3 linked regions of the Styela clava genome follow. The protein of the gene in region 3 binds, or shares a complex with, the protein of the main gene of each other region. Links are inferred from orthologs where the notes say so. Each region holds a gene or a part of one and is shown on either strand. Other genes may lie near its edges.

What was found.
Region 1: actin-related protein 2/3 complex subunit 2-like (region 3) and actin-related protein 2/3 complex subunit 3-like share a complex: the UniProt entries of both Caenorhabditis elegans proteins name them as parts of the arp2/3 complex. The link is inferred for Styela clava from reciprocal best matches to the Caenorhabditis elegans genes arx-4 and arx-5.
Region 2: actin-related protein 2/3 complex subunit 2-like (region 3) and actin-related protein 2/3 complex subunit 4 share a complex: the UniProt entries of both Caenorhabditis elegans proteins name them as parts of the arp2/3 complex. The link is inferred for Styela clava from reciprocal best matches to the Caenorhabditis elegans genes arx-4 and arx-6.

The regions. Positions count from the first base shown.
Region 1 is NC_135257.1:4,066,856-4,076,802, forward strand, and holds actin-related protein 2/3 complex subunit 3-like, read left to right. Parts: upstream 1-6,517; 5' UTR 6,518-6,548; coding exon 6,549-7,091; 3' UTR 7,092-8,015; downstream 8,016-9,947. UniProt on the Caenorhabditis elegans protein: Functions as a component of the Arp2/3 complex which is involved in regulation of actin polymerization and together with an activating nucleation-promoting factor (NPF) mediates the formation of branched actin networks.
Region 2 is NC_135255.1:6,166,563-6,178,128, forward strand, and holds actin-related protein 2/3 complex subunit 4, read right to left. Parts: upstream 5,027-11,566; 5' UTR 4,891-5,026; coding exon 4,384-4,890; 3' UTR 1,780-4,383; downstream 1-1,779. Other genes in the region: polyhomeotic-like protein 3, read right to left, coding at 931-1,737. UniProt on the Caenorhabditis elegans protein: Functions as actin-binding component of the Arp2/3 complex which is involved in regulation of actin polymerization and together with an activating nucleation-promoting factor (NPF) mediates the formation of branched actin networks.
Region 3 is NC_135259.1:12,804,266-12,815,191, forward strand, and holds actin-related protein 2/3 complex subunit 2-like, read left to right. Parts: upstream 1-6,268; 5' UTR 6,269-6,304; coding exon 6,305-6,378; intron 6,379-6,454; coding exon 6,455-6,602; intron 6,603-6,783; coding exon 6,784-6,897; intron 6,898-6,993; coding exon 6,994-7,109; intron 7,110-7,260; coding exon 7,261-7,354; intron 7,355-7,882; coding exon 7,883-8,009; intron 8,010-8,376; coding exon 8,377-8,578; intron 8,579-8,889; coding exon of another isoform or gene 8,890-8,905; exon of another isoform or gene 8,906-8,940; intron 8,941-9,608; coding exon 9,609-9,630; 3' UTR 9,631-10,367; downstream 10,368-10,926. Other genes in the region: uncharacterized protein LOC120338534, read right to left, coding at 188-308, 614-726, 1,270-1,345; uncharacterized protein LOC120337963, read right to left, coding at 10,413-10,490, 10,898-10,926. UniProt on the Caenorhabditis elegans protein: Functions as actin-binding component of the Arp2/3 complex which is involved in regulation of actin polymerization and together with an activating nucleation-promoting factor (NPF) mediates the formation of branched actin networks.

The sequences.
Region 1 (9,947 bases), on a different chromosome or scaffold from region 3:
ATAAGAACTTCAAACATAAATTTGGTTTGACTGAATATTAAAACTATGTTAATGCATGTTAATGTTTCAATATCTGATAATAAAAAAACACCAGTTTCAGTTTTAGCTATGTATATTCATCAACTACATTTGCTGTTTTCATCGAGTTTTCAACTATCAGGAAATATTTAAATCATTCATCTTTATCATTCCTTTTTAACTCAAATGGATATTTCAAAGATTGTATTATGTTAGCTAACTTAAATAATCCCCCTTCTTATATTACGATAACTTTGGAACTGTTATGTGTAATCCACCAAATAATTGTTGTAATTAATCAAGGTAAAAATCTATACGCAGCCTTTGTTTCTCATAATTCCTGAAAGTCTTGTCCTTATAGGAATTTTTCTTTTTTTAGGGGTCGGTCGACATAGTTGACCTTAATTGTAGTCCTGCCCAAAGCGTACCGGTATATATACAGTATCACAAGCGGGGCAACGCTCAGACAATGGACGCCATCTTGTGCCTATTATTCTCGGCCATCTAAAACAGCGCCTTATGAGAGGTACCCACACAATTGTTGAAACATACCTATTATTTCCACTAATATTTTAGGTAGAAAAATTTTGAAGGTCGCGTTTTGAAGGAGAATCTTAGCCGAACATGCTGATATCCTTTTATTCATGTTTGCCAAATTATATTTATAGTACATTAAATTCCGAGTTGCTTCCGAAGTAAGGCCATTCTGTCGTCATAATTAACCATTTGACAATGGTTTTTTATGACGTCACAGATGAGAAGTTGTATTCATTCTTCAAAATTGCCGGCCGACTCAACTTCGCTTCAATGGCCGTTTCTATTTTCTGGTTAACATTTTTCCTATTTGCCCTACTACGCATCTCCAAGCTGTGCTAGAAGAACAAATGACATTGTAGGATTGATGCGGAGACATTTTACAACGTCAAATTGGCGCACTATAAAATCTTCGAAAAAATGACCAAAAATGGTTCTACGTTGTGTTCGTGGTCAAATTTAACGCATCAGATAGTTTTATGTTCTCAATTGCGTTATATATTTAGGTAGCATATAACTTAAAGTTCAAAATCCACCCTTCGGCTTCATTCTAGCCCTTATAACAGCTAACTTATTTGATTCGGTACAACAACACGACGAAAATTTCCCATAAGACTCCATTGTTTCGCGTTTTCCAAATAGGGCACAAGATGGCGTCCATGAACTTGTTTAACATTAGGCAAGTTGGTTGCCGGCCGTTGGTCCTGCCCGTCCCCTTCCAATTATATTTTATGAATGTTTTTTCCATTTATTGTAATTGTTACATATTTTTTGATATATTCGGAAAATAAATCATTATCTCTCTTCCGTCAAAAACCATAAGAAATGCATTACCCGCCAACAAAGATTGGGATAGGAGTGTATCGTCAAAACGAGGAAAACTTCCGCTAAAGACAATGTATAACATGTTGTTATGTAAAATCTATGCTTCCGCACTCTATAATCTATGTTTTTAGTTCTGAGCTTTGTGGGAAACGGCCGCGCGTACCGGTATCAGTAAAAACCTTTTTCTATGTTTTGACTATATTAACAATCTCCTTGTCGTCTTTGCGGTTTTGTTAAATTTTGTGCTGTATTTTTGACAAGAGGTCAAAATAGTTTTTGTTTATTTTCACTGTTCTGTCAATGTTCGTTCGCAGCGCTCCTTGTGGATTTTCACCACGCCCTCGAAAAAAGAGTGTGCACTTTCATTTATATTAATTTAGCCCATTATTATATACGAATGTTTGCTGGCGAATTCGAAAGTTGAGTGTTGAAAAAATTTTGTGCCTTCTATAAAACGAATGTTTATCCATATTATTTTACTTTTTATTTTCAGTAACAAGACATACTAGCAGAAACATAAACTAAGGCAACCCTAATGGCAGTTCCTGGTTGGTATCATCTTCCTGTGTGGTCGGTTTGTTGCAGGGCTGCCACTTTAGATGTTTTATAGCTAGATCTAGATGTTTTTTTTTCAGATCTAGATTAAAATTTGGAGTATAGATGTTAGCTATAAAATCTTTGAGATATTTTATCCAGTGGGATATGAATAAAGGGATGTCGGGATGTGTATAATGATATTGTACCGGTAATACTGTAATATGTGAATGAATATTATTTCATTACTTAGAACAGTAGAAGTAAGTTAAATATATTGATGTAAGATTGATAAAACTCATTTATATTATAATTATCTACCGGTACCATATGTAATTAAATTATTCGAATTAAACATGTTTAGAACAAGCTGACAAGTGAAGTTTTAATTAAATAGAAAGAACCGAACGGCGCTGGCCCGATGAGTCAGTGCTTAGTACCTTAGTAGTAGTAGTAGGCTATTGCAGTATTGTATTGTTGCCAAGTGGTGAGAATCCTAACGCTTTGCACGATAATATACGATATTTTGCCATGTATAATACGCACTTTCATGGTCAAATTTAGTCTCACAAATATGGGGGTGCGTATTATATATTGGTCTAGAAAATATCAAAAAATATTAATTCTCATTTTATGCTTCAACTGGCAAGTAATTGTCACATTTTATAATCTTGAGTTCTTAATTTAATGTGGCAAATTCTGTTAGAATCAGACCATGCTTGATTCGGTAGAAGCATACCCAGTTCAACAACAATTTAGTGTTGATGAAGGCGTAGAAAAAATGATGAAATAAAAGTGATAAAAACACGCTGTTGTACATCCGTTAACTGCTGTCATTGTCTGGTCTATTTCTGTTGTTTCGCCGAATCGGCAATACTTTATCATAATAAATACCATATGAGTGACCTACGGCTTCTCTTTGTCTGAAAACACGTTCTGATATCAGGTTTTGTCAGCTTTTAAAGGGGGAGGGACAAATAACTTTACAAGATACCTCTAATGTCAAATCACATCATGATTGGCAGATGTTTCATAGGCAAATACATAAAACATATTACCAGATATATATATAGTTAACAAAAGGCAAGCAGACAGAATGCTTGAAATGTCTGGAACAAACACCTACAAGGCAAAAAAATTTTGATATGCATATTATGCATGGAGTTTGAAAAATTCTGGTTGAAAATGTACTAAAACCTGGGTGCGTATTATCTATGGGTGCGTGTTATACACAGAGAAATACGGTAATATATATTTATTGGTTTCTCGCCTACAATGCCGTTGAGAAAACAAAATCTTTCAGACTTGAAATAAAAACCAAGGAATCTGAAATAACAATGGGGTAGTGTAAAAGTGCCTTAATGTGGTTGAAAGCTGATCGAAAAATATAAAACTATCAGAGTGAAATTCCCTCCAAACTCTTTGGAATCGTAAAATAATTTGCCGCATCATCCTAAACGTTTTTGGTAATTCATATGCGTGTTTTCTAATTTCATAAAATCGAGTGCCATAAAAAGTCCCTGATAGAAGTGTTGCATAAGTAAAGCCCAAAACTACACCAACAGAGGCTTATTCGTTTTGTTTCAGAAGTTTCTTATAGCAGTACGGCACACTATACAAATCGGGTGACATTGTCCCGTTTCAGAGAAACCCATTTTACAGATGATCAGAAACCCCTCCGACGTCTGGACATTGTTGTCCCTCAATATCGATAATAATACAGTATAATGAAGTTGCGCAAAATACTACAAAAAAGCGCAATCTAGTAACATCATCATTGAATTCCTTGGGAAAAAATAATCCGATTTACCAAAGAAAAAAAATTTTTACTGTAGCATTCGAGAGTTTTTAGCAAAAAACGGTAATTTTGGTCATGTGACGGCCGCGATTAACTTATTATTATTGAGACAAGCACGGTGTGATATGACGCATCTGACGTGGTCCCAGATGCCCCTCGTTTGTGAGACGCATAGAGTGTTTGTTTTATTGAGCCAAATGGAGGGAAATTCTTGGAATTTGGATAGTGTGCTGTACTGTATAGATACAAACATTGATTAAATATCTGTGAGTGTGACCCACTCTCTTCTGTTCCGCGATAAAATTTGACCCATTCATTGAAAAAGGTTCACCAATCCCTGGCCTAGAGCTTGCCAAAGTATATCTACGATCGCTCGAAATGGCATCTGCGCTGACGATAAAGAACTAACGGCAGCGATCTCTCACGTATCGGGATGGTTGCGGCTAGAAAACGAGAGAAATAGCTTGCTCAATTTCGACTGATCGTCTGCGCATCTTGGATGACAGTTCGTAGAGCTTTAAGGGCCTTTTACGTCTCTGTGACGGTAGTTTTTGGATGACACAGTCAGGTGGGGGTTAGGGGTTGACATATGCAAAGATTTTTATGCTACGCCCACTAGAAGTACCTTAGGTACGAAACTACACGAGACCCGGATTATGGACGTATAAACTCTGGCAGTCTGGGGTTGACATAAACTGAAAAAATATAATAGTTACAGCTTCTAATCCTTATTTACCAACTTTGCAGAGTTCTTTTAAAAGCTTATATTTCCAGGTTTAGAAAGCACTCATTTGCAAGACATTAGGACTCAGTGCTCTTCAACCGGGTATACGGTCTACCCAAATGTATACCGGACTATAAGTTGGGTATACAACCGATAATGGGTATACGAAGGGTGTACAGCCTAAGTCAGGAATTCTAAACTCTAATTACTGTTATAATGAACGAGAATATCGGTCGGAGACCGAATACTTATCGATCAAAAGTTAGGGTATCCCCAAAACAGAAACTGCGGTTTCGATCCATCCGCTCTTACTCCGTGTAGCGACACCGTGTGTCCCATCACTAATTAAATAATAACTCGCTAATTATACGATATAGTTCATCCAATATCAATAGGCTTCTGCTCGGAGATATGATGAATGAACATGCAAAATTTGGAGCAGATTCAACCTCGCTTTCGTGAGATATCGCGTGCATCTAACAGACAGACAAATACCTATCAACATACTTACCGATCGAGATCGATAAATAATAAAATATTCAAGCGGAGACAACAATGCAAACGCGGCGCACATTAAATATAAAATGTCATTAACGCAAAGAACCGACGTGAGGACATTGGTACATCACAAATTATATAGATAATGCAGTCACATGTCTGGGTTCGTGATTTCGCTGCCATGCCATGCACACTTGCACATTAGATTGCATGATGATATTGATATTTGTAAGGTATACAAAGCTATTGGAAAATTGTGAAAAGTATACCATGATAAAAAAGGTTGAAGAACACTGCATTAGGTTATCAACTTTAATAATGCAAGGATTGATATGTCTTTGTAATTACTCAATGCCGAATGTCATCTATCTAAGCTATTCCAAGCAACTTCAGGCTGTTAATGCAGCAATCTCTAAACAAATTGCTTCTGCTTTATGAAACAGCAAAAGTAAACAGAAGACTGTCATGGTGTAAGTGTGGAGCAATAAATCGCATTCCACATCCTATAGTCAAATAGAGCTGTCTGGTTGTGTATGCAAGCAAGGATATGACGATTTCTATTCTAGGGTAGTCGTTCAAGTATTCAGGAATCATGAACACAGACTTCTCACCAGAGCCTCACTACCTCAAAGAATGGTAAAGGTGTTCAGTTATTTTAATATTTCACAGTAAATATTTCGACCCATAGTTGCTCACTGTAATAAGCGTTAGGAATACGCTCACCATCTTATCTGTGACTTTGTGATGATGACCCTGTGTTCACAGGTTGAAATCCTGAAGACCAGCGACTCCCAATAGGTGCGCCGATTTGCTAAGTGCTCTGCCTGTCCGCGAAAATTAATAGAATTGTGTTAAACATAACTAATATAGGATTGAATATTTTACATATTGTATTTTCATTGTTTCTTAGTTTGAATGCTGTGTATACTGGAATATGAATTCACCTTTCTATGTTGTTTACTTTCCTTACGTAGTAGTGTCTGCCTCTGTTGTTACGTAACAATAAAGGTGAATACTACTTGCTGCAATTTTTCGCGAGCTGCAGTTTAGTTATTTTCTGAACCGATTTTAGCGAACATGAGTGATTTTTATTTTCTGAACCAAGTTTAGCGAAAATGAACGATTTTTTAGTATTTCAAGGGAAAATCAGTCAAAGATGAGAAAAAGGAGTTGTCCTTTTGGCTTTATATATTAGGCCTACATGTTTACAAACTTTATAAGGCATAAGGTAAACATTAACGATCACAAAATTGAGTTTTATTTAAAGGCAGCAATTTTTTTCATGTAATTGCGCCGTGAGTTTTTTTCTTAATAATTTGGCTCCACCCCACAAACAAAAAGTATGGGAATCGCTGGCGTAGTTTAAGTGACAAACTGCAAGTTCATAACAAAGTGTGATTTCTGTTCACCCTATGTTTTTGCCCTCACACCTCTTTGCCTTAAATAATATTAATTGTATTGCTCACAAAGTATTTCATGAAATGTAGTTGGTGGATCTAAAAGTCATTTGAGCCAGAGTTCAATAATAAGAGTTTAATTTCTCTTGACTTTTTTCATTACAATATTCATACTAATAAATTAACACTTTCCTAATACTTTTCAACAGGAAATATCATTATGCCAGCTTATCACTCTAACCAAATACCTGCCAAGTCAATTGCTAATGTAGGTTTGCTGCCATTGCGATGTACCACAAAGTTTCGAGGACCTGCTCCTAGAGCCCCTCCAAATTCTGAACAAGATGTTATTGATGAAGCGCTGTATTTCTATCGTGCAAACATATTTTTTCGTAATTATGACATCAAAGGAGATGCAGATCGCACTTTGATCTATGTTACCCTGTATCTACAACAATGTTTGAAGAAATTGCAGAGAACCACTACCAAAGAACAAGGCAGGAAAGAGATGTACAGTCTTGCTGTGTCTCCTTTCGATATCCCAGGGGACCCAGGATTTCCTCTTAACGCAATGTATGCAAAGCCTCAATCTCGACAAGATGCGGATCAGATGAAGGCATACTTCCAGCAGATTCGACATGAAGCTGGAGAAAGGCTCCTGGATAAAGTTTATGATCCGAGCACTAACTCGCTAAATAAATGGTGGATCTGTTACTCCAAGCGACGCTTCATGGACAAAAGTTTGTCTGCACCTGGCCAATAATGTTGCTGTGGAACTTGGACAACAATTCACTATAATGCATATTCCAGAAATTAAAAAAATTATGTGTATGAACTGTATGGGCATACAATACATCACATGGTTATGTCCGAACAATGACTAAAAATTTGTTCCACTTGTATAATCATTATATCTATATTGTATCAGTGTTGAGTGCAAGCCGCTGAACATTTAGCCACAGGTTATCAGAGTTTCAATAACTTTTTAAAGCTAGTTACTGCACTGCCGATATATACCATGAGTCGAGTTGCAGTAATTTGCATTAGCAATAGTGAAGTGCTGAAATAAAGTTCACATTGTTTTGCGATGAACTAATGCTTTTTTGAAACCCAAACTGAGATTATCATTGTGTGACTTGCTTACTCATACTTCAGAAATGTTTTGATTCAATGACCCAAATTTATTTATTCAAAGCAGTGCCCCTTCATTTACCGCCTGTAGCATGCAAAAGATGTTGATACTCTTTTATTGCTGCTCTCAAATTTTGTAATTTGTTCATGTCATGATTATATGAAGTCATTTTATGTCAAAGGCATATGTAATGATAAATTGATACTTATATTCGTGGCAAATGCTGATTTTTCGGGGCTCCCGAAGTATGCGAACCAAGATGGCGGACATCGGAATGTAATATGTGTACTAGGTTATGGTTAGGCCATAATATTAGGTATAAATACTACGGGAGGCTCTTGGCTAGTCTTCGAACTGATAATAGGACTAAAATAAGAAAAATTGTAAAAAAAATTATCGCTTAACCCTAACCTGTTACCCATGTTACGTTACGATGTCCGCCATCTAGGTTCGCATACTTCGGGAGCACCGATTTTTCTAATGTTGATTTTTTTCAATACTCCACTTCAATATTGAAGATATATTAATCATGAATAAATAGTAAATGGCATTCCATCCACTATTTTATTATCATGAAATTCACAGAATTCAGTGACCCGAAATCTTATGAATGAAATTTTAGAACAGACTACAGATTGAATGGAAGGTTCGTATACGCCAAAGTTTTTTTTAAGTCTGGGTGACGTAGTCTAAATTTTTTTCAACAACGAGTCTAGAGTTGATTTTTTTTCATCCAGCAGTCTAGTCTTAAATTTTCCCCGTCCCCTGCTCGTTGCCGCTAAATATTCATTTTTTTCACTCCAGGCAATTATGATCCTTATTTTAAAGAACATAAACATGTGAATAAATAGATATAATTAAAATTAAAACAGTAAATACCGCAATTCCAGTAAAATCACAGCTAATTCGTTTATTACTCAAGATCCGTATGTCAGTGACAAAGCACAGATAGATGCAGGCGCGGTAAATATAAAGATGTAATATCGCAACGCTCCCAATGATAGAAGTGAAACAACACCAACAGCTTTGGATATGACAGCGGCCCTTAGGACTCAAAAAGGGGTATAAAATAAATTGGCTATAAAATGATTAGTATTGACGTTACAAATCAAGGTCATAAAATACAAATATTTAATAAAGTAATATAATATTAAAGTAATATTAAAGATTTCTGGACGAATACCCTTTATCAATACCACGAATAACGTTTTTTATTTGAGGACATATCGCACAGTTACTTAGACTAACTAACCCAGTGGTTCTTAAACTTTTTGAGCCGCGCCCCCCTTTGAAAAGTTTCATGAACTTTGCTCCCTCCCTTTTTTGTTTTGGAAAATGCTTTTGCAATGGGCAGGTTGCTTTATAATAAGATGGCGCTGTAAGAGTGTTGGTCTCGCAGCGTCATTGCTCAGATTGCTTAGGCATAAAACGCATCGGGGTACAATTTCGCCTTTCACTGTCGTATGTATAAAGCCATACACAAATACTAGTCATCAATATTCTCTTTTTTCCGCTCAGTTTGCAATACCTGGTGAAGTCAACTCAAGTTTTACGTAAAATTAAACACGCAATAAACGTATGCTCTTTGCGCTTTAATGTATTTTCTGCATATACGTTTACGACACGTAAAATTTCAATTGTTCACTTCACTATTGAGCAATGCAAAAATAATTACTGTGTGTTAAAAATAGACAACAATTACAGACTTCTTGGCTTGCCTAGCGTCTCTAAAATTCACTACCAATATCTTCGGACAACCACTAGGTCAAAAATACAGTTTACACAATGGAGAAGTGCAAATGAATTTATGTAGATTTGTAGCATAAAAAAGCCGTTCAATTGTTAATAGTAATTATGCATGTGGACTTTTCCCGGCCCTTGAGCGCTGAAAAATAAAGTCCCCAATGACGTTTGCGATTGCATTTTGTTTAAATCTCCGATTGTTTTCGCTCTCATTCATCTCAACAAATATTTTGTGCGGCGAAAACATGATAATTACTTTTTGCGTTCTCGCATGGAACCATGACACCTGTGGGGAAAACGAGATAGTTTTTATTATATATATAATCATATCAGCGACGAGATTATAAAGATATAATAAAGAAGTGAATCCGCAACCAAAAATTTATTGATGGAAAAAGCGGCATTATAAAATACTAAAACTAAAACGGAAAACACCAACGGGTTTTGTTATGGGATGGAACTCGACAGTTCGAAAACACTTTCTTAGACATCGCAAATCTCGTATATTCCTTGTTCACGTGGCACACCTGTAGTGTGGATAAAGCAATCTTTTAAAATATTTATATCGATCTAGTGGCGTAGCCAGGGGGGGTGGTTTTACGGGTCGAACCCCCAACCCCCCCCCCCCCCCCCCTCCCCCCCCCCCTTTTTTTTTGAAATGTAAAAAAAATAAAATCCCCCCCTTTTGAAATGTAAAAAAAATAAAATCCATTTTCTGTATCATAGATAGCAATTTTCCGTAGC
Region 2 (11,566 bases), on a different chromosome or scaffold from region 3:
GATTGAATCAATATCAAATTAAATAGGTTCATCACATATAGAGTCAGAGAATAGAAGAAACCTTTAGAAGCAAATAAGCTAAGTGAACATGATTCTCATAAATAAACCGACAATCAAAAAAAATCAAAATGATTGTACAAAATTAGTACCAAGGTTCTGTGACGTTTTTTAAAAAAATCCTTTCCAAAAAATAGTAATAAAATAAATAAATAAATGCACTCATACTCATTTTAGCATTCTGAATTACGGTAATCACAATCACAACTCATTGATTGTACAATTAGCAAGGTCTGGACATATTCAAGTACATCATGTGACTCATGTCATCTTTTTTAGTCTTGTGAAGAAATACGCATTTTTATGAGAATAGTTCAGTTTATAGGTTTATATGTTATGTGGTACAGCATAACGTTTTTCCAAATCTGAATGAGTTTTCTGAATATCATGCCTGTCGGGCTGTAACATCTTATGCCTGAACCAGGAATTAATTTTATCAACTCCGAAATATATGAACGGATTTAAATCAAAGTAGAATTTCAAGTTTCTTTGGCATTTTTAATAGAAGTATAAGAATATTGGATCAGAAAATCAAAAATTACAATTCTGATATCAAATCCCATAAGTGTTTGCTAGGGTAGATAATCACAAAGACATATCACCAAAAAAAAAATATAGTAGTATTATGAGAAATACAATGCTTTGCAAATTGCAATAAACAAAAAGAACAGCTAACACATATGAGCAGGAAAAGTAAATAGAGAAAGCTTAAGCGGCATTTTTACAACATATTTTTAACTGCACAAAAATGTACGGTCATCTATAATTCAAACAAGAGCAATGTATGGACTTGAGACAATTACGAATGATGGCATCTGAATCCATGACCATAGTTAGACCAAAATCTACGACTATAAATAAATTTACATTAAGTCATTCTTGCAACTTATTAATATGCGAACACAATTTCAACGCAGGTCCCAGTTTTATATTCAAACTTCCGATTAAATGATCTTCTTTAATCAAAAGCAGAGCAGAACCATCAATTTCTTGATTTCTAAAATCTTTTGCAAAACTCTCTGAATCTGGCAAAGACGAAATGTAATCACAAACATTATCTACTGTCCACTTGCTCGGACTAAGAGTGACCATTTGACCATCCTCATCTTTCACGTGTGGTAAGTAGGGAATAACGGGGGAAAGAGGTGGAGTGCTAAAACGATGATTTTTTTGTCTCGGTATTTCAATGGATTCCTCATTAGAATCTTTATCAATTTTATTTGCCTTGGTTCGAAATCTTCTCGCAACAGCAATATTATAACGACGACAACAAAGTAGAGTACAAAAACGAGACGAGCGATGACCTTTTCCACGTTTACCGCAATATTCGCATCTATGTACTGTATCTAACAATGCTTCATTCGTTTCCTCAGGTAAAATAGACTTTCTATCTAGCTTGCGTTCTTCTTCACGATCTTTAGCGATAAGTTCCTGCTGTTTCCTCCAGATATCTTGGAGTTGTTGTTTTGTGAGTAAAGAACCCGTGTCTAATGTAAATGGAGTGTCTGCTTCTTCAATAACAAAACCATCGATGAAATGATATAACACATTTGTATCTTTTTTCTTTCTGTTACGTCCATCAACTAATATTGAAGTTTTTCTGTTATTTTCTATATCTCCATTCGTAAAATTTGATTCATCAATGTCCATAAGTTGGTTTTCATACTCTATTCCTTTCATATTTCAATTTTGCTTCTTTTATTGGAATACTAATTAGCAGACTCTGATTAATATAAAAAAACATAAATGCACATTGGTTAATTAGAAATATTGTCCAACAAATATCAAATTGAAACTACCCAATATCACTTATAAATGCTACTACTATACGTTTACAAATGGAAATTACAACCAAACCAATACACAATTTTAAATATATTATTCAACAAATAATAATTTTCACCTCCCAAAAGCATAGCTGATCATTGTTAGTTGAAAGATCATAATCATAAAGCAAAAAAAAATGCAGCCCTTCTTGTATTTGTCAAGTTACTAATATGCTCGAGAAACAGATTGTTGTCACTTGAGGATTATATTCGGCCAAGCCATGTAAATATAATCGCTAATGGTGTGTCATAAGTAAAATAGACCCAGGCTGGTTACACAATCCATCATTAAACAATTTGCTTTGTTGATAATTTGCATTACAGATAAATTTTGAAAATGCACAATTTTAAAGTTGCCACAAAAAATTTACAATGAAAAACGACATTGTTCAATCATCAATGAATTAATCAGCTAGTTTCAATGAAAAAAGAAATAAGAGCAAGAACGATTGTTTATCACATAATTAATGAATACAGTATATCATGGAATAATATCATTATTACCATTTAATAGTAGAATATGAATTTGATATCCAATAATAAATTTCCCAACTTTTTTCCAACTAATTGAATTTAATATAACAGCAAAACAAGATTTTGAATGTAACTATTGTAATGCAGTCATAGATGTTACATGGGTGATGTTTCCCTAATCAACATGGAAAACAGGGGTTTTAGTACCTGAAAAAATTGCGATAAATTCGAAACATTTACTAAAATTGATTACATCAGCTTGCTTAAAGTTAATGGCATCTGAGAAAGATGTTTTTCAAAGATCCATCAATGACATAAAAAAAAAGACGATTTCCTAAAATTTTGTAATTTTTCTGTAAAATCCAATTTTATGTCAATTTTTACAACAAATAGAAATTATTCGAATGATTACCTATCTATATTGAAAATTCCAAAAATATACCTTCTAGTACATTAAGTTTGATATCAGTTATGTAACATCCAAAAATGATAGCATAATATGTTACTATGGTAACGATTCCTACCCTGAAAATACTGGCCACAAAAGTTAACATAACTATATTTGGTCCTAATATTTAACAACAGGATCCTAAGGCAGTGCCTTGAAACAAACAAAGGGGGAACATAATAGAGCTGAAATCTAAAAATTAAGTCAGTCAGAATCTCAATTGGAAAATATATTTAAAGTTTTTGTTTCCACAATCAATTCATTTCGCCAAAACTCTGTGCAGTATATATGGATGAATGCTGGCATTAGAGGTCAGGGCTACCGTTGTGAAAAATTCAATGAGGTGGCCTGGTCAGATGAGAACAAATTACCATATATCCTCGCATATAAGCCGAGTTCAAAACTAAAAAAAAAGTTGTCAAACTAAGGTGTCGGCTTATAAGCGCATAACTCTGATCGCACTTGAACTAAATGACATTTCATAAATAAATACCGCAAACTTAAACTGAACGATATTATCATTAGCAACACCAGGCTAACAATAAAACCGCGATAGATACTAAATAACATTTAGAAGCTATTTAATAGGCTGGAAATGCAAAAACTTCCCGTTATTCTCGGTCACTGTCAATGGAAACAATTATTTATCACACAATTTGCTGTGGTCGCCCAGATATGTTAAATATTCTATAATAATTGTAAAATACTTTCAATCAAACGTCCACGACGTGTTATAAGTACTGCAAGTCGGCGCTGATATAAATCCTTTCATGTCGGCAGTAATTTAGTCGCGTCACAATGGGCTGTCTTCGATTACGATAAAACATAAAATATAATAATCGAAAAATGTTTTTAATTAAAACGTGGACAGGGGCGCTAGAATGTGTGTGCGATATTCAATATTAATATAAACACAAAACGATACTAGAAGGTAGCGAATACCGATATTTGAATATTATTAAATTCGAATTGAACATCATTGACTGTTATACGTGCATACGGTGTGTTACGATTTGTAGGGTCAGCTTATATGAGAATTTTTATAAATTCACTATTTTAAAGCGGTTTTTGTGGGGTCGGCTCATATGCGGGGATATAGAACATGGGAGCCAACCAGACAAGATAATAAAATAAGCAGCTGGTTATTTCAATTATAACAATAAGCATCAATTAGATATTCTGCATATAGTAATAAAAATAACCTATCCACTCTTAAGATCGTTGATATATATAGTTAGACATGGGAGAATCAAGCATTAATATACCAAGCATATGAATTTTATTTAAAGAGAAAACTGAAATTTTTTGTTATCAAGTTTTACCTTTATTTGGCTTCATCAAATTTAATCAGTGATTCAAATCATTGAAATCGGAGAAAAAATATCATTCTCGTAAAATTGATATTGACTAAACACTTTGGATATTATGGACTATATCATAATTATTATACTGGATAAATATAATGATAAATTTAAAACATCTTTCATAGAGAAAAAACCTTCGTTTCAAGGCATTTTCCAGTTCATTCATTGTAGATGCAAAGAGTACTTGAAATTCTAGTTCTACAGCATCTTATATTCAAAACTTCTTTAAAAATTCTTCAGCACAGATTCTGGCACGTGCGTTGACAGCTAATTTCATTTCGCTTATTTCTTTGTCAATTTCTTCCATAAAGTGAATGACGAAATCAACCAATTTATGCTTGTACATTTTCTCTGTGTGAAAATTAGTAATCAAGAAACTAATGTCGTACCCAGCGACTGGTTTTCTACGTAGAACATCGAAACTTTCAGCTCTCATCATCATAAACCTTGTGAATTTGCTACAAAGAATTTGTTCCAATTCGTCAGCTTGTTTTATGGCGATGCTGACGCGGATTGAATTGATTGAAGCTTCTATCATGACTTTTTCTTTTTCGTTCCTCGCAATGACCAACGGCGTCATCAACAATTCTTTACTGCTACGAACTTCGACTTCTGGTTTATTATGCCTTTCCACGACTTGAGAATTGAAATTCTGGAGACACGTAGCAGCTGTTAAAGTAGACTTTACAGCATTCAGGTATGGTTTGAGAGTTGTCGACATCTTTTTTTTTCTTATTAATAATAGAAAACTGCACTAAATTTGTAACAATATTCTAATATTAGATTGTCAACAATCTGTAATGAAACGTAGAGGTTTACTAGAACAATTGAACGAAGACGAGCATGTTGTAATATTTTAGGAATCAAATTGAAAAATAAATGCAATACATTGTACAAGGGTATGAACATACAAAATTGTGACTAAAAAATCACCAAAAAACACAACGAAACTGTTATTATCAGACTTCTTTGAATGCTTGAAATATAGACTCATATCAAAAAACAGACAGAAATGGAAAATTAAGTTCAAAGACAGAAAAGAAACCTTAATTTTAGCGTAATTTATGATCTACAATAACAGTGTGGGTATAAAAATAGTGTGACATCCCCACCATAGACTTACAATTTTATCAGTGAGAATATTTCCCTGTTAAATCTGTCATGTCAATATACCATATTTTTATTACTAATAAAGAATTTGATATGGTTCTACACAAAGTTTGTCAAATCTAAGTACAGTTTCCAAACAAAAATATTTAAACGAAATATTGAAAAAATTAAAGTAACACAAAACTAATATACTATTGTCGACTATCATACTCTATTTGTTCCATGATATAAAACTACAAAGGCAGACAACACACTGACAACATAAAACATGTGATGCAAATGTAATGATTCAACTAATGAAATTAGTTCAGATATAGGTATCAAAAGAAACTATTGCCTGGCAAACAGAAACAAAGCTATGGCAAAACAAGCAGACAATAAGTATAAAATTTCAGTCAAAAAAATTTAATATTTGAAAAAAATTTTCAACCTTGAGAATGAATGCCATATAAATCTTCAAGTCAATCATTTCTAGGCGGTGGTGGCTATCAAATCAGCAATAAATAAGCAGAAGCTGACATTGAGATATTATTTACTGATTCCAAACTTGGCAGTGGAATTATAATAACAGGCAGAGCTAATCCATTCTGGCAATAATATTAGAAAAAAAGAATAACATCGTAAACAAAATTTGTGAATCTATTGTCATACATGATACAAAAAAAATTCGAAAATTAAAAAAATCTTTCATTAAAATAACGAAGTAGACGTAAAACTACATAAATTTGGCTAAACAGATTCGATAACAAGTTCGTGCTCCATTATTTCTCTCCATGGAAGTTGTTCTTCTATGTTGAATTCATCTTGTTGAGACCTAATGGGCTTTCTCGGGGCTCTTTTTGGCTTAGATAATGGTTGATCTTCTTGAAAATAATAGCCATCTTCCTTATTATTTTCATTTTTTTCCTCAGGAATATCTTCAAATAAATGAATTTCTGATAATTCTGCAACTTCTATATTGTCAGTGTTTGGATTAGTTTTAATTGCTCCAGTTTTGGATGGCTTCTTACGCCAATGTGAGTCTGTGACGTCTAAAATTCCATTCCATTCTTTTGGACCATTATTGCCTTGATAAAATGGTGATACTTTTTTGCTCCTTCGTGTTCTCCGAATTTGGTGACTTATAATAGGAGAAACATCTTCTAGAACGTCAGCGACAGGATTAAGTAAGTTTTCAAAACCAAACAAATCTTCTGTGTCGCTGTCATCAGATTGTGATATGTATCGAGGCGTACTTGCAATTCTAGATTTACGTAACCCTTCTTTTGGAGTATTGACTTCCTTCACATTGCTTGAAAGCAATTCCAAATTTGGGGGCGATACGGTAGAAAAATTCTCACCCTGATCGGTTCTGGTTGATCTATGAGCAGTAGCAAGCCATGGTGCAAGTGTAGGGGTGCTCTTTGTTTGATCTGGGCTTTTGGAACTACATTGAAGCGTACCTCCGATTCTAGATTCACGTAAACTCTCTTTCGGAGTATGCATGTTGGCTTTCTTCATATTACTTAAATGGGATTCAAAAGTTTTGTCTCCAAATTTATCAAAACTTGGGGGTGATACAGTAAGAAAATCTTCCCTTTGGTTGGTTCTGGTTGATATTTGGGAAGAAGAAAGCCATGATGCGAGTGTAGGGGTGCTATTTGTTTGAACTTCGCTTTTAGTCTTGTTAATTTGTTTTGTTTGTTTATTTGAGGAATCGCTTCTCATTTTTCTAGTTTTCCCAGTGCTGGTTTTTAAGGCTGGCCTATCGGGGTAAGATAAATTCTCATGGCTCTGTGGTTTCCTCATATTTTGAGAGGTATCCTTGAAGCTTTTCGAAGGTTTATGTTCCCCTTCTAAAAGAGAAAGAATATCTTCAGCCGAGTGTTTGCGTTTAGTAATAGAATTATGGGTGTTTATACTTTTATCATATGAGCTTGAACTGGAGTTATTTAGCTTCTCCATGTTAGGGATTGGTTTTTTATGTTTCGTATATTCAACATTTTCATCGAGCACTACAGAACAGGGGCTAATAGGGGAAGATAATTCAACGTTATTTGATTTTTCAGTTGAAGATGAAAGACGAGTGTTAACTGAATTGTCAGAGGAATTCGATTTATTGTTCATTTCTGAAGAAGCACTCGTTTCATCTTTTAATTTTGAAGTTGTCTTTCTCTTCCGTTGAGTTGTATTTCCATTTGAAATAATTCTCAGATTTCTACCATGCCTTTTCTCACTCTTATCATCTTGAGTTGACTTGTGTTCCATTTCCCTCGTAGTTTTAAAATTTTTTTTATTTGTTTCATTATTATTTTTTCCATCTCTAGGTCTGCGGCGGAGTCTAGAAACAACAACACAATCCTTTGTATCATCATCTTTTCTTTCATTCTCAATATCAATTTTTTCAGGTTCTTTCACCTTCGAGTTCCTAGTTCTTCTTGAATACATCTTTCACTGCAGTGTTTTATGATCATAGATAGAGTATAGATTTCGTAATAACATCAACGTTACACTCTGATACAAAAATCAAAGATATTGGTGAGTAATTAAATACTGAAATATGGGAAAATTCAAATAAACTACTGTGCAGTACCCAAGGAGGCCGATCGGTAAGACGGTTTAATCATATGGCATACCACAACTTGATTACTGGATCACCGTGCCAGTACATATCGGATATGATATTACTTAGGTTACCGTATAAATGACCGTCCAACATAACTGGGGTCTGGTATAGTTTAGTACCACATGCACTTCTAGTTGGCCTGACTCAACAATTTTTGCATATGCCAATCCTAACCCCCACCTGACTACGTCACCGAAAAATTATGTCATTTCGACATCACATTGGCTTAATAACCCCACCACAAAGTATGCTGATGGTCGTCCAAAACGCGCAGACGATCACCCGAAATCGAGCGAGCTATTTCTCTCGTTTTTCCGTCATGACGATCACGATAGGAGAGAGATAGCCGTCGTTAGTGAGTTCGTTATCGGCGGCGCAGATGCCATTTCGGGCGATCGTAAATATACTTTGGCAAGATCTATGACGTGTTTGTGACGTCGTATTGACGTAATTTTTGGATGGCATAGTCAGGTGGAGGTTAGGAATAACATATGCAAAATTCGTTTTGATACCCCAACTGGAAGTACTTGTGGTACTAAACTATACTAGACCCCATAACTGTTTATTTGGGGTCTCATGTAGTTTCTTACCTAACATACTTCTAGTGGGCGTAACATGACAATTTTTTTACATATCAATCCTAACCCCCACCTGACCACACCATTCAAAAATTACGTCACTACGACGTCACAGTGACGTAATAGAGCGCTTCAAACTATGCGAACTGTCATCCAAGACGCGCAGACGAGAACCCGAAATCGAACAGCCATTTCTCTCGTTTTCTCGTCGCAACGATCCCGATAGGAGAGAGGTCGCTGACGTCAGCCAGTTCTTTATCGTCGGCGCCGATGCTATTTCGGGCGATCGTACGAGTATTTGACAAGCTCTATGACGTGATTGTGACGTCGTATTGACGTAATTTTTGGATGGCGTAGTCAGGTGAGGGTTAGGATTGGCATGTCAAAAAATTGTTATGCTACGCCTACTAGAAGTACGTTAGGTACGAAACTACACGAGACCCTTTATTTGTATTACCTACCACTAAGTACCGGTAACAGCCATACCGTACTGCATTATCTAGATTTTGATTTCAGATTTATAGACTACAACCATTGGCAATTTTTTAAAAATTATTTTTTATTATGCAACAGATAGGCTACCGGTACCGGTAGTGAAAAGTTTAATTAATAAATCTTTATATCCTCGCACCTATCACAGTGTTATTTATGACAATATGATCATAAGCAAAATAAACAAAACGCTTTTTTTTTTTTTTTTTTGCCAAATTCAAATCCATTGCCAAATCGGATTTATACAAATGATAGTTTTGGACTTTGGTGTATCCAAATAATCAAATATATATTTCAATATTATTGCATGAGGTCCAAATTTTATTTTATTTTTGTGATGTAATTTAGGTGATTTCATACAATGAATAGGTATACAATGAAAAGATAAGACAAATATTAAATAATTCAGACCAGATACATTTACCATTTAATTCCATATGTCTGTATGTCAGTATGTCCATGAAGTATGTTCATTTGTGCATGAAGTTGAGACATAATTTTCCCATTATCATCAGTTATAATATATAATATAAATATCAATTAACCCATCATTAGCATTTTTATTTAAAAAAAACAAAATTTTTGAAGAATTAGATAAATAATCAGAAAAACACCTATCATGCCATAGGTGATTTCTACATTTTCCATCTATGTAATCATTTTACACAAATTAGTAAATACGGTAATCTGTTACATATTGTCATGAGATGGCCAGTGGTTGCATTGGAAACTTGATATTATAGCATGATGGATTTATTTAAAACCTCATCCATGTGTTGATCTTGCATAATATCATTTCTGCTTCCACTGTCCATCAAACCCATGCACCCCAATACCTTACATTTAAAAACTGCTCTCAAATTGCATTGCATCCCATAAATACCATCATATTTTATAGAGTTTCTATATTGCCAGATTGCTGACTTGCCACAAATTCAGAAATCATCCAGATTTGTTTCCATTATGTATGATTTTCCAGTTGAGTTCTTTATACTTATTGGGTATTTGTATTTGCCAAAATTTTGTCCATGGGATAGGTTGGGTAAGATGTAGGCTAGTTTGTTTGCGACATACCGGTATATTATGATCATGAATTTGGTTATCCAATTGGTTTGATTTTAAGCGCTTATAAATATTTTTGGTTGTTAATTCTTCTGAAACCATATACCGGTAACGATCAATTTCTGTTCTTGCTGGAGATGTATTTTGATTCTGGGCGAGAATTTCTTTCCAATTTGTTGGAATGTATCGCCAAATGTTGCGTATTTCGAAGTTGCATTTTCTATTCTATGCAATTTTCCTCTCATATGATATATCTCTACCTGGTCTATATAGTAAATTTGAACGCTTTAACTGCTTGAATAACTCAAAACAAAAATTAGATTTCCGATAGGCGGGTAACATACTCAAGTTTCAACTTAAGTCGATATATGTCCAATCCCAAATAGCCTACTTGTCGTAATTCATTTGCGCAAACATTTCCAAAACCGGCGACCGTGCGCTAAAGAAACCGGCAAAGCTGGGCTGTGGCGTAGTTCCGCCATTGCAAATCTGCGCAGTTGCGCCCCATGTGGCAACTAGTGGAAAAATCGATCCATTTCCTTATGGACCTTTCCCCGAGCATCGACTTCCTTGTTTACTTCGTGACATTCGCCAATCAGCAAGATGCAAAAAGTGATGTAACAATGCCCCCTTTTCGCATCCGCTCAGACACTTTTCTCACTCAGACAGATTTTCAAGCGTGATTGTAAACATTACCTCGTTTTCGCGTTTTTGAACTCTATTCGTTAGTTTTCAGTTGTGTTTTGGGAACCTAAATAAAAATCAGATAATTCAATGATCACTCTGTCTTTCTAGGAGTTTTAATTTAATTGCAGTAATAAAAATTAGTGTAGAAATAGCTGTGATAGACTAGCCTGAAATTCTTTACCTGTACTTTTAAAAAACAGATTGTTGTATGCGATGAATCATAATGATGGTTTGAAACACATACCCCATTTTACAGACGCCAACTCGCAAAAGCACTCTTAAAATAGCCTTGACAATTTTGCAATGGTAAAGTATGGGGGAGAATTTTCCGAGGGTCAAAGGTCGGGGAAAGGTCCATATTCAACAGGGCCAAATACGGTGTGTCTTGTTCGGTCGACTACCTGGGCTTGAATATGATGGGCCGAGTTCGAACTGATGGTAACAATCATGCAGATTGTTCAGACAATTTCTTTGTAGGGTAGAGACAGGAAAGATTATCTTCCAGTCCTCCGATCATTAGACTGCATTGCAATTCAGTATAAAAGGTCAAAACTTAATATAATATTGCACCCACCCTCAATATGTACAATTGCACCCACGGAAATTTGCACCCTGAAAGTTTGCATCTACGGGCATTTGCACCACCTACATTTGAACTCACTGAAATTTTTACCCATGTACATTTGCACCCAGGGTCATTTGCTTCCGCGGGAATTTGCACCCACAGATATTTCCACCCATAGAAGTTTTCACCCATGCATTTTTGCACCTGCGTACCTTTGCACCCACAGTGATTTTCACTCGCGAATAATTGTATTTCAGAAAAGTCCGGAGTTCGTTTTCTCATTTGGTATTCTTATTCC
Region 3 (10,926 bases):
TTATATATATATATAGTTTTGGATTCAAGATAGTTGGCGTGGAAGGAGGTACACGAAATTGGTATGACGTAACGTGATATTCTGCTGGAGCATCAAGCGATAAACCGTATATTCATACGTGTGCAATCGATTAAAAACAGTATATTCATGACTTTGACATATTATAGCACTATTGGTCTCGTCTTACCTTTAAACACTCGTCTGCATTCTGGTGGACTTGTGAAAGGAACGTGATCATCTCCCGCAAGTAACCATGTTCCTCTGTAGCAATCAATTGCAGTCGGGCCGCTTGCGTGAGCAAATAGTTTCTATTAAAAAGGGAACGTTTAATAATAACAAAACTGCACGACTTTCTGAATTTTACGATTCGGGTGTTTTAATGCCGACTTCCGCTAACTGAGGGTGTCGTTATGTGACGACATTATAGTTATATTCTTGATTTCATAATTTAAAGCTTTTAAATGAAATATTATACTTAATCTATACTTTGAACGTTATTCTGCATAATATGAGCGAAGAATAAGGGAAATTAAAAACAAACAAGCTAGAGCGAAGTACTCCATAACAGTATTATATTACTTATTTATTGTTTGTTAGGGTTACATTGACTTACATTACATTTAATCTTGCAGTGTGTACCATCAAGATATTTCCCCACCGATTCACGAGTGGAACAAATCAACATGCCATTCTGAATGTTCGGAGTGTTGCAGCTTGCAATCTTTCCTACATTGACGTATTCAAATTAAAAATAAAAATTGCAAAAATATAGAAATCTGACTAATAGAGTGATAAAAAATATTGAAACAAAATTTTTATTGGATGAATTTCATTAATCCGTGTATAGTTTGCATTTTGAGAACCACGAGTTAAAACGCGGGAACGAATAATCCTCGCTAATGCTGTGTTAATATTCGATTTCACAATTCACATAAAGCAGTAAATAACAGTTTCACTCGAACGTGTATAATTCACCGAGTCGCGCCAGTTGATTCATTCTCAGACAGATATTTATGAAATTATTGGAAACGTGGGATTTTCTCCCAAGTCAATCATGGCATTATTTTTAACAACCCTTCGGTTTTCACCCAAACTTCAAAAAAACTATATAAAAAACGGAAAATGTATTCAACTTTAGGAGTAAAATGAATAAACTGCGAAACAAGCAAAAATACGATCTTCAAGTATGGTAATGTAATGATTACCCAGTGATTTAAATAGAACTATTTCTTAGTTTCGGTAGTTTAAAAATTCAATAGACACACTCACTTGCATCCGACGTCTTTATAGCAGAGTATAAAATGATGTAAATCCATAAGCTTATACATGAATGTACTACCTTCATTCTGATATATATAACCTTACTAACGTTTCTTCGCAAATTTTCAAATGGAAATATTATTTATATTTTTATATTCACCAAAATCAATTTAATAGAGTTATGCGCTAAATTTCAACGCACCACAGTTCGATATCTACAAGAAGCAAGCCCAAATAGACACTAAATGGGTATATATATCTGCGTTGACTTATAAACTTAGATAGTATGACGTCACTATTTTCGTCAGTTACTCGAGCATCAAGTTTGCGAGGGCGGATCGAATTACAGATGTGTCGTCTGAATATCAAAAAATAAACGTGTTATCTGATGAGACGTGACCTAAGTTTTTCGAAGGATACTCACCATTTTAAGTTAAATGGTTTCGGGTAGCTTGTGCTACCCTCGGGGTGTGAGATGTAAGTCGGTGTACTTTGTCATTGAATACTTTGTCATCACCTCTAACGATACGCCAGAATACTAGGACCGAGTGGGTTCCCAATTAGCATCGATACAAGTTATTGTGAATGCCAAATTTTATTTTCAATTGTCTGATCGGAATTAACCCGTTAACTGTCTAATATAGGCTACTCTGTATGATTCCGACTGATTGAATGTTAAACTCAAATATCTAATTTTGTTCTGTTTTCACTTGGTATATTAGGATAGGATAAGTAGTTCACTATGTTGCGCTTTGCCATTACTGATAAAAAGAATTGTTTATTGCTCTTGATATTTTATTTGATACGATGGAAAGCAAATCGAAAAAAAAAAAATTTAATAGGGCTTTCCGTCCCGTATACATATTATCTGTAAGTTAGGGCCGTTGTATTAGTCCAAAGTCTGAGAGTTTGCTAACCAGCCAATTCACGAGGAATGTCTCTATTGTATTTATTTTATTCGGTCACAGTGTGGATCTAATTTGAAATAAAACAACCACTGTCATTTATACAAAAAGGGGTTTTTAATTTTTTAAGACCCGAAATATATTTGGTTAGCGCGCCTTATAGGTTGGTGGGCACTAATATTGAACCTAAGACCTGCTATGCGAAAATGTGTCACGAGAAGACTTCCGCTTACTTCTGTAGATCATTTTCTGATGAAATATTCTCATGTATATATATAAGGAAATTTGATAGGAAATGTTTTCTATATACTGTATATGTATTAATAAAGTATATTGATGTAAGAACGTGCACGTGCGATTGAAGGTGAACAAGAATAAATATATATTGTCCTCGACAGACGTCTCAACAAACAATATATATGATTCCTGAATTTAAAAAATATTGTAGCAATAAGAGGATGCATTTTCCTCATTAAAAAAATGAAAATTAAATGTGCTTGCATTTTGGATCGAATAAAACTATACACTGGTTTATTTGACAGATGACTGTTAGTTTAGTTTACAGCGATCTAGAATGCAAATTAATTACAATAATATAACAATGAGCTCATTAAAAAGTGCGTTATCAGCAAATCTTTTGTGATCACGATGTTGTCCCCACAAGCCAAATTAATCATTGTGCCCAACATGGCTCAGTCATCATAGACACGCCACTGTTTGGGTATCTCTCAAGTCCATGCACCGGAAAAAATAACTGGCTTACTACTCCGATCACCATATGATTAATCCGTCTTATCGGCTTTCTTTTCCCCTTGAATAAATATGTAAATCCTCCGCCGCTGGGGTAACATTCTCCGCGATTTCTTTGCCTTTATATCGCACGTGTTTGTTTCTATTCAATATTATAATTCATATTATTTCATCATTATTCATTGTGTGGTTTGTTGTTTTATATTGTAAACTTTTGAATTAAATACGCCCTCTTTTTCAAATATAGCACCCAATTTCAACTGTTTTGAAGCTAAACCAGTACCGAAATACTTCGCTGTCTGTTGGTTACGATGTTTCATTCGCGCTACGTAATCCCTAGGAAGATGAACAATTCCCTGAAACTTTTCCCCAATAAGATGGATGAGTCTTTCGTGACCCCTCATCAACTGCTGTAAGTCAATGTTCACCGTTTCTATTTTTCATGTGGATTATTGCTTTATATTGATTCTTACATTGTGAAAATGAATATCTGTATCTATAATTCATATATATACATGAAACTGAGCCTCCGTTTTTCCAAAAAAACGTATTATCGGGACATGACATTCATAATATATACACAAAATCAAGTTCCGGGGGAGACGCAAGACTTGCGAAGGCATGAACGAAATAACTTCTATTCATTTTGCATTCATTTACTACTGGGGGCTTTTGTGATAAACAATTGCTAATATGCAGCTGAATAAAACGATATATTCTCATACACGGGATCAGTAGTAATAGTTTGAATCCATTAGCATAAACTCACTCTGCATCTAGGATTCTATGTCCAATAAGTATGAAGTTCAATTCCGATCCTCTAAGCAGGGGTGGCCAACACGTCGATCGCGATCGACCGTCGGTCGTTTCATCCTGAGTGGTCGATCGCGCCTGATCTTGAAACGTAACAAAAGACGTAAAAAATTTGTTTTAGACCAATATTCAAGCGGCGCCTATTTTGTGTTCCGAAGAGGCGAATACTGTGCGTGTGCGAAAGACGTTATGTCTGGCGCATATTGGACAAAGCTCGTTTTTACGTAACAGTTTACAAGTTTCGTCACTGATAAATATAAGAAACAAATGGGCCGACTTAGACCAATGAATGTTTCACTTCGGTATTATGTGGAAAATTTTGTTAATTCTGGTGTATAAAAAGTAATATTGGTCACCGTAGCTGGACATTAGAATGACCATATTCAATGTTAATTTATATCAATTCTGAGCGTACCAGACAATTCCGGCGATTCTGCGTGAGCGGTAATACCTCCACTTTATTTTTTTAGGTGATGTCCCCAATTAAAATCGCATAACTTTCCTTAATATCTCCATGAGGCAGATAACGTCAAAATTTGACGCATACGTCAACGCAAACTACGATGAACCCTTTCGGTAATTATATTCACCGCACTCCTAGAGAATCGTCTCTCATTGGGCAGTGAAAAGGTCTATGTCATAATCAGAAATAAAGTAACCCAATGAGCGATTTGACGCCTAAGTTGAGAAACATATAATAGCTTTGCAAAGTCCAACTAAACGATTAGGATTGTTAGGCCTAGAACCTAAAATTTAGTGTAAACTAAGTTCAGTTCAAAGTGGGAGGATTATTAGAAGGATGGCACTCGATAGAAACATCTTTGGTTAGGGTACCAAAAGTACAAATAGTACAACAGAAGTCTTACCATATATCACTTTCTACTTTATGCCCTTGTTGTTGTTGTTGTTGTTGTTGTTGTGAGAAATAAATAGATTTTCTAAGCATTTAGTCCTGGCGCTACTCTTATATGAGAGCAGCGTGTACACGCTTCGTATGACATCCGTTACAATTATTTTGCCAGTGTGCTATCATTTTGGTATTTATAGTTACAGTGTTCCAACCAACGACCGGTTCCAACCCAATATCTAAGAACAATTCCAAAGTATTATCCTCTATAAAGTCGAATTATGTTTTGGATTTGATAACGTGGTTCCACTTGAGTGGTTCCTTGGGAGAGGCTTCACCTTCCGTCTCCTTGCTTAGTTGTTGCAGTGTCTATTCGGCTGGTTGGACATCGCGAGTGATTGTTTGCGTATAATTGAAAGTGTAGCCTTAAAATTGCCGATATTTACCGCACTGAATTATCAGTTTATAAAAAATAGTTTTGTGACAGATCCGCCAAAGTTTACATTGCTTTATACAGTAATATTCTGGAGTACCGGTATCACAAATTTTTCACTTTGATTTTTAATACCCTGATAGCGGTACCAAACAAAAATAGAAGTCCCGATTTAAAAGTGTATTGTGTTTCTAGTACATATATTTCGGTGGAGTTGTGTAACATAGGAAAATAATGTTTGGCATTGAACATTTTCTGAGTTTGATATATCTATATACTGATATACCTGTATACAGATAACGGTAGCAGTTTTTCTGAAAATATTGCACTTATTTCGGTATTACTTCTGATATCTACGTCGTAATACTGTAATAGATGAGACTTACATTTTTTTCTATAATCCAACTGAAACTTGAATTGTATCTTATCCTAGGGCTAAACCAAGAACAGAAGAATAGGGCTGTAGCAGTAACAAAGTGATGAGCTGAAAAATTGGGGTCTCATGTAGTTTCTTACCTAACATACTTCTAGTGGGTGTAACATGACAATTTTTCTACATATCAATCCTAACCCCCACCTGACCACACCATCCAAAAATTACGTCACTACGACGTCACAGTGACGTAATAGAGCCCTTCAAACTATGTGAACTGTCATCCAAGACGCGCAGACGAGAACCCGAAATCGAACAGCCATTTCTCTCGTTTTCTCGTCGCAACGATCCCGATAGGAGAGAGGTCGTTGACGTCAGTCAGTTCTTTATCGTCGGCGCCGATGCTATTTCGGGCGATCGTACAAGTATTTGGCAAGCTCTATGACGTGATTTTGACGTCGTAGTGACGTAATTTTTGGATGGCGTAGTCAGGTGAGGGTTAGGATTGGCATGTCAAAAAATTGTTATGCTACGCCTACTAGAAGTACGTTAGGTACGAAACTACACGAGACCCAAAAATTGTAACGAACAAACCTAATTCATTGAAATGTGAAAATAAAAATGTTTTTTTGGTACAATGGCATAAAGTTCTTCATGACATACCAATGAAAATTTAACCAACTAAGGAATCATAGTAACTTCAGAATTCAAAATCGAGAAAACATTTCACATTGCATTATGTATAAAATTTGCTTGTTAATAAAATTTAGAATGAAACTTTGTTAAGCTATGCTTCCTCAGCTACCACGCTCCTATGCCATTAGGATATCAGTATTGTGTGTTGATGGTTTTTGTTATGTATTAACAATAACTTTGTCATTTGGTTTAGTAATTTAGTAGAATTTGCTCAACATTTCTCCAAGATGATTTTGCTTGAAACACAGAATCGAATAATATCGGATACTTTGACATATAAATTTGAATGTGCAGTAGCAGGGTAAGCTTATTTTTTAAGTTAAATTATTTGTTATTTTTGAAGTTTCAGTGTTACATTTTTATTATTATTTTTAAAGGTCTAAACCAGAATCAATTGATTCAACAATTGCCGATTTTGATGGAGTGTTATATCATATCTCGAATCCAAATGGCGATAAATCAAAAGTCATGGTCAGCATTTCTTTGAAATTTTACAAGGATTTGGAAAACCATGGAGCAAAAGAGGTACATTACTTTGCAGTGAAAGAAATAAACCTTTTTGAGAGTGTGGTGAATAGTTTGGGACCTTTGTGAACAAGACTTGTTATATTTTATGAATTGAATTATGTTCGTTTCACATTTGGTTGTTTATATAATATTGATTACTAAGTTATTAAATACAGTAAATAAAATTATTCTATTTCAGCTTCTAGACAGAGTCTACGGATGTTATCTGACTTCACCTGAGTCTGGACACAGTGTCTCACTGCTCTATGATCTTTCGAACATTCCTAAGGATCACGCCAAAATTGTTGCAGATGTACGTTATTTCAATTCAAATTTTTTTTTCAATTTTCAGATGTAGAATTTACATTGGTACCAGAACAATTGACATTCCCAGTACTTGTTTTTCTAGGCTGCAAGTTTGAAAAGGAATTGTTTTGCATCTGTGTTTGAAGAATATTTTGAAGCACAGGTACAAGGGAAACAAGTGAAAAGAGCTGTCGTCAACTACAGAGATGATGAGACGATGTACGTTTTGAGAAATAATACTCGAATTATACTTTAAGTCTAATTTTTGAAAATACGCCAAACTAGATATTATGGGATATAGTATTTATGTTAGAAGACTCATAATACAGTATAAATACGATTTATTTATGTTTGCTTGTATTTTATTCAGGTATGTGGAAGCTAAGAAAGATCGTGTTACAGTGATATTCAGCACTGTTTTTAAAGATGATTCTGATATCATCTTTGGAAAAGTATTTATGCAGGTAATTAAATTAACATATGAACCTAAGTATAGGTAGGCCATATTATGTAGAATTATATCTTTGGCCATTAGAAAATAATAAAAGCCCCATCATTTGCTGCTTGTTAGGAGCCGTCTTCACAGAGAGAAATTGTGACAAAAACACCACATAGCATATTAGCTATTTACGAGTTTATCCACACTTTTTAAGTAAATATTGAAGCAGGAAGATATTTGAGCGCTCCAGAAGTATGTGTACCAATATGTAGGTAACTAATTTTATTCGCCTACATCAAGTTGTATAAAGGGACTGAAAACTATGGGCAGGGGGTATATTCGTTAAACAGACAGTCCCTGAAATCGTAATAGAACTAAAATAAGGAAAATCAGAATAAAACTATGGCCTGACCCTAACCTGGTACACACACTATGGGAGTGCCGATGTTTGACCAAGTATATTTGGATACATGTTCCTGAATTGTACTAGGAATCAGTCAGGGATTTGTATTACTTAAACATGATATGCAGGCTGTATGAAATATTGTAATAGGAATTCAAGGAAGGCCGCCGAGCAAGTGCCAGTGCACCCCAGGTTCTTTTCACTCATAAAGAACCTCCACTGGAATTGAAGGGACAGGATGCTGCAGTTGGTGATAACATTGGATACATTACTTTTGGTAAGATTTTGTTTCCTTCTGCTAAAATCTACTAATTCCAATTGTAGTTAAGTTCCAATAATTAAAACTAAATCAGATATTGTATTATGTAACCCACTACACAGGAAATTTATTTGATCATTACAATTATAACATAAAGCCATTTACCCCTCAACATGGCTGATCAGCTTCTATATCAATGCCCAAATTTTTCTAGGACTAGGACACTGCTAAGCATTCTTTTCATCCTTATTTTTAAAGTTTAAAGAGGCTGTCTGAGTGTCAACTGTCATTATGGATACATAAGTCTACAATCGCAATTCTTTTTCTACATTTGCTGAAATCAAATATTGTGTAGCTGCTATGTATGTTTTATTTGTATTTCTAGTTCTGAATACTCGACACACCAACCCTGCTAATCGTGACAATACAATTGATCTCATCCACACATTCCGAAACTACTTGCATTATCACATCAAGTGCAGCAAGGCTTACATTCACACAAGAATGCGAGCAAAGACTTCGGATTTCCTTAAAGTTCTCAACCGTGCCAGGCCTGACCAAGCAGTAAAAGAGAAGAAAACAATGTCGTAAGTTAAGAGTGTATCTAGAAATGGGGTGATTCTATTACCGGTTTATTTTATTTTGTTGATTTTGCTTACATCAAGATTTAATCAGTATTAATATACCATAATCGCATTTTAATTTTTTTTTTTAGTAACAAAATTTATGCAGTTTTGTGATTAATGAAAAATTTTTTTATATTATTTTGAGATTTTTATTTGCTTCTTTGTTTTTATTGTTGAATTGTTTTTAGTAGCAAATTTAATCATAAATGCTGATTGCAGGCTTTTTTTTTTTAATTGTGATTTTATCCCTAATTTTTGTTTTGCATGAACAGAGGAAGAAGTTTTTAATGTCAACGAAATGCACTATTTTCATTGTTTGAAAGGTTTGTATTTGCACTTTTTTTCTGGAATTATTTTGCTGCTTAAAAAATCCTAATGATTACATAACCAAGAAATTTTTAAGTTGATTTTGTTTTCCACATGTTGGAGTTGTAAACATTATGCTTCTGGGATAATCGGACTGTGAAGTCAAAGTTCAAAAAGTGACTCAGAATTCGATTTCCGGCTCGGGACTACCGTATAAAATTTTACCTACAATAACTTTGCTGTTTGCTACCTTTTTTATTTCATTCCGAAATCTTGACTGAGGACTCTTAGCATTCAGAAATCTATAGTTGGATAGTGTCTGTGGGCAGTGAAATACATTTAGATTTCTGGTTTCAAAACCAGGAAAAAGCACATAAAACTATCGAATGAATAGGGTGGCCATTTCCTGGGAAAAGTTGGACTAGCAATTACAAAATAATTGATAAGCCAAACTACCTTAAAAATTAACACCCCTTTAAAAATATGAACTGAGTTTCCTGTTTTCATATTCATTAATACATGTACGCACGCGTTGAAATGTTTTGGTTATAATCAGCAATCTCATTTCATGAAAGTATCAAGATTTTGAAGGATGCATATTGTAACAAATTTAAGAAAAGATTACCAATTCCTACTGTTGCGAAAAAAAGTATATTTGTCATTAATTGCTTCTTTTCATATTTAGGGGCAAGACATTCAACCGTTGATGTGTAATGATTAAACTACATTTTATACATATCTACATATTACCCAAGATTCCAAGAAGAATAATCAACATCTTTAAAATCTAATAATTATAATCTAATCAGTGTAATATTGATTGAAGATTTTTCCAATAATGAATCGAACATTTCGTGGCTATGCCTGGAATGCTTCAACATCAAAATGAATAACTGCAGATTATTTTATTCCATTATGATGATCCTTATATATAGGGAAAAGTTTGGGTACTCCCGAAATATGGTACCAAGATGGCGCACAGCCTGAAATATGTGTACCAGGTTAGGGTTCAGGTTGTGCGTCATCTTGGTACACATACTTCCGGAGCGCCAAGGTTTGTACTACATAGCTAGCTATGCCAACATAGTTTAACTTCCGATGTAAAAAATAACAATACATTTAGCATAAAAACAGTATGGCTGTCTACTACAGGGTAGTTGCATAGGTTTATTGCTATATATTGGAAGTTTACGTTGGAGTCTTCTTCGATTTATCATTTATTTTATATTGTATTGATCATGCGCTAATTCTGCTGCTTATGATTGTCTTTTGCCCACTAGCACAGATAATTTAATGTGATTGTTTGGGAATTGTTGAGGAAATTTATTATTTCGTAATGAGCTTATATATCCTGCACTGCATTTAATATTATTGTGTGGGAAACTGAATAAAACATAACAATACTGAAAGTTTTATTCGCAAATATATTCCAAAAACAAACAAATTTACATTTTTTTTTATTTCATGTAGAAACTTTGTAGTTCAGGTGTCAGTCCCGTGAAATTGATTGTCCCTCGTTGATAGCTTGTTTAACCCAAGACTCCTCTCGTTGCCTTTCATTTAATTCCTGGAAATAGTCGATGTATATTAAGAAGCAAACAACTGCAGGGTTTCGCCCAGCTTTGGGGCTATTAGTTATAGCAAGTATGCGTACAATTGAAATTCATGTAACTCGATAACTTGCAAGCAACGTTTTTTTTATAATCATCTGTCATTTTAAGAAACTCGTAATTTACGCTCCACTTCAGCCCTTCCATAGAGGTAGATAGTAGTTGAAACTAATTAAGTTATTAAACTTAGTCATTTTTATTTTTTAAAAGGATACCCCAACACTCTCTTGTGCCCGAGTTACTAATTACTACAAGCATTGAAATGACTAATTTATTTTTTTTTGGCGGGCAACGTTTGCGTTTTAGATAAATAGAATAAAAAGATGAAAGATGCTTCCAGATAAATATGTACAGTCCCACTTACATTACGCAGTTGCGCAATCAATAGGCACG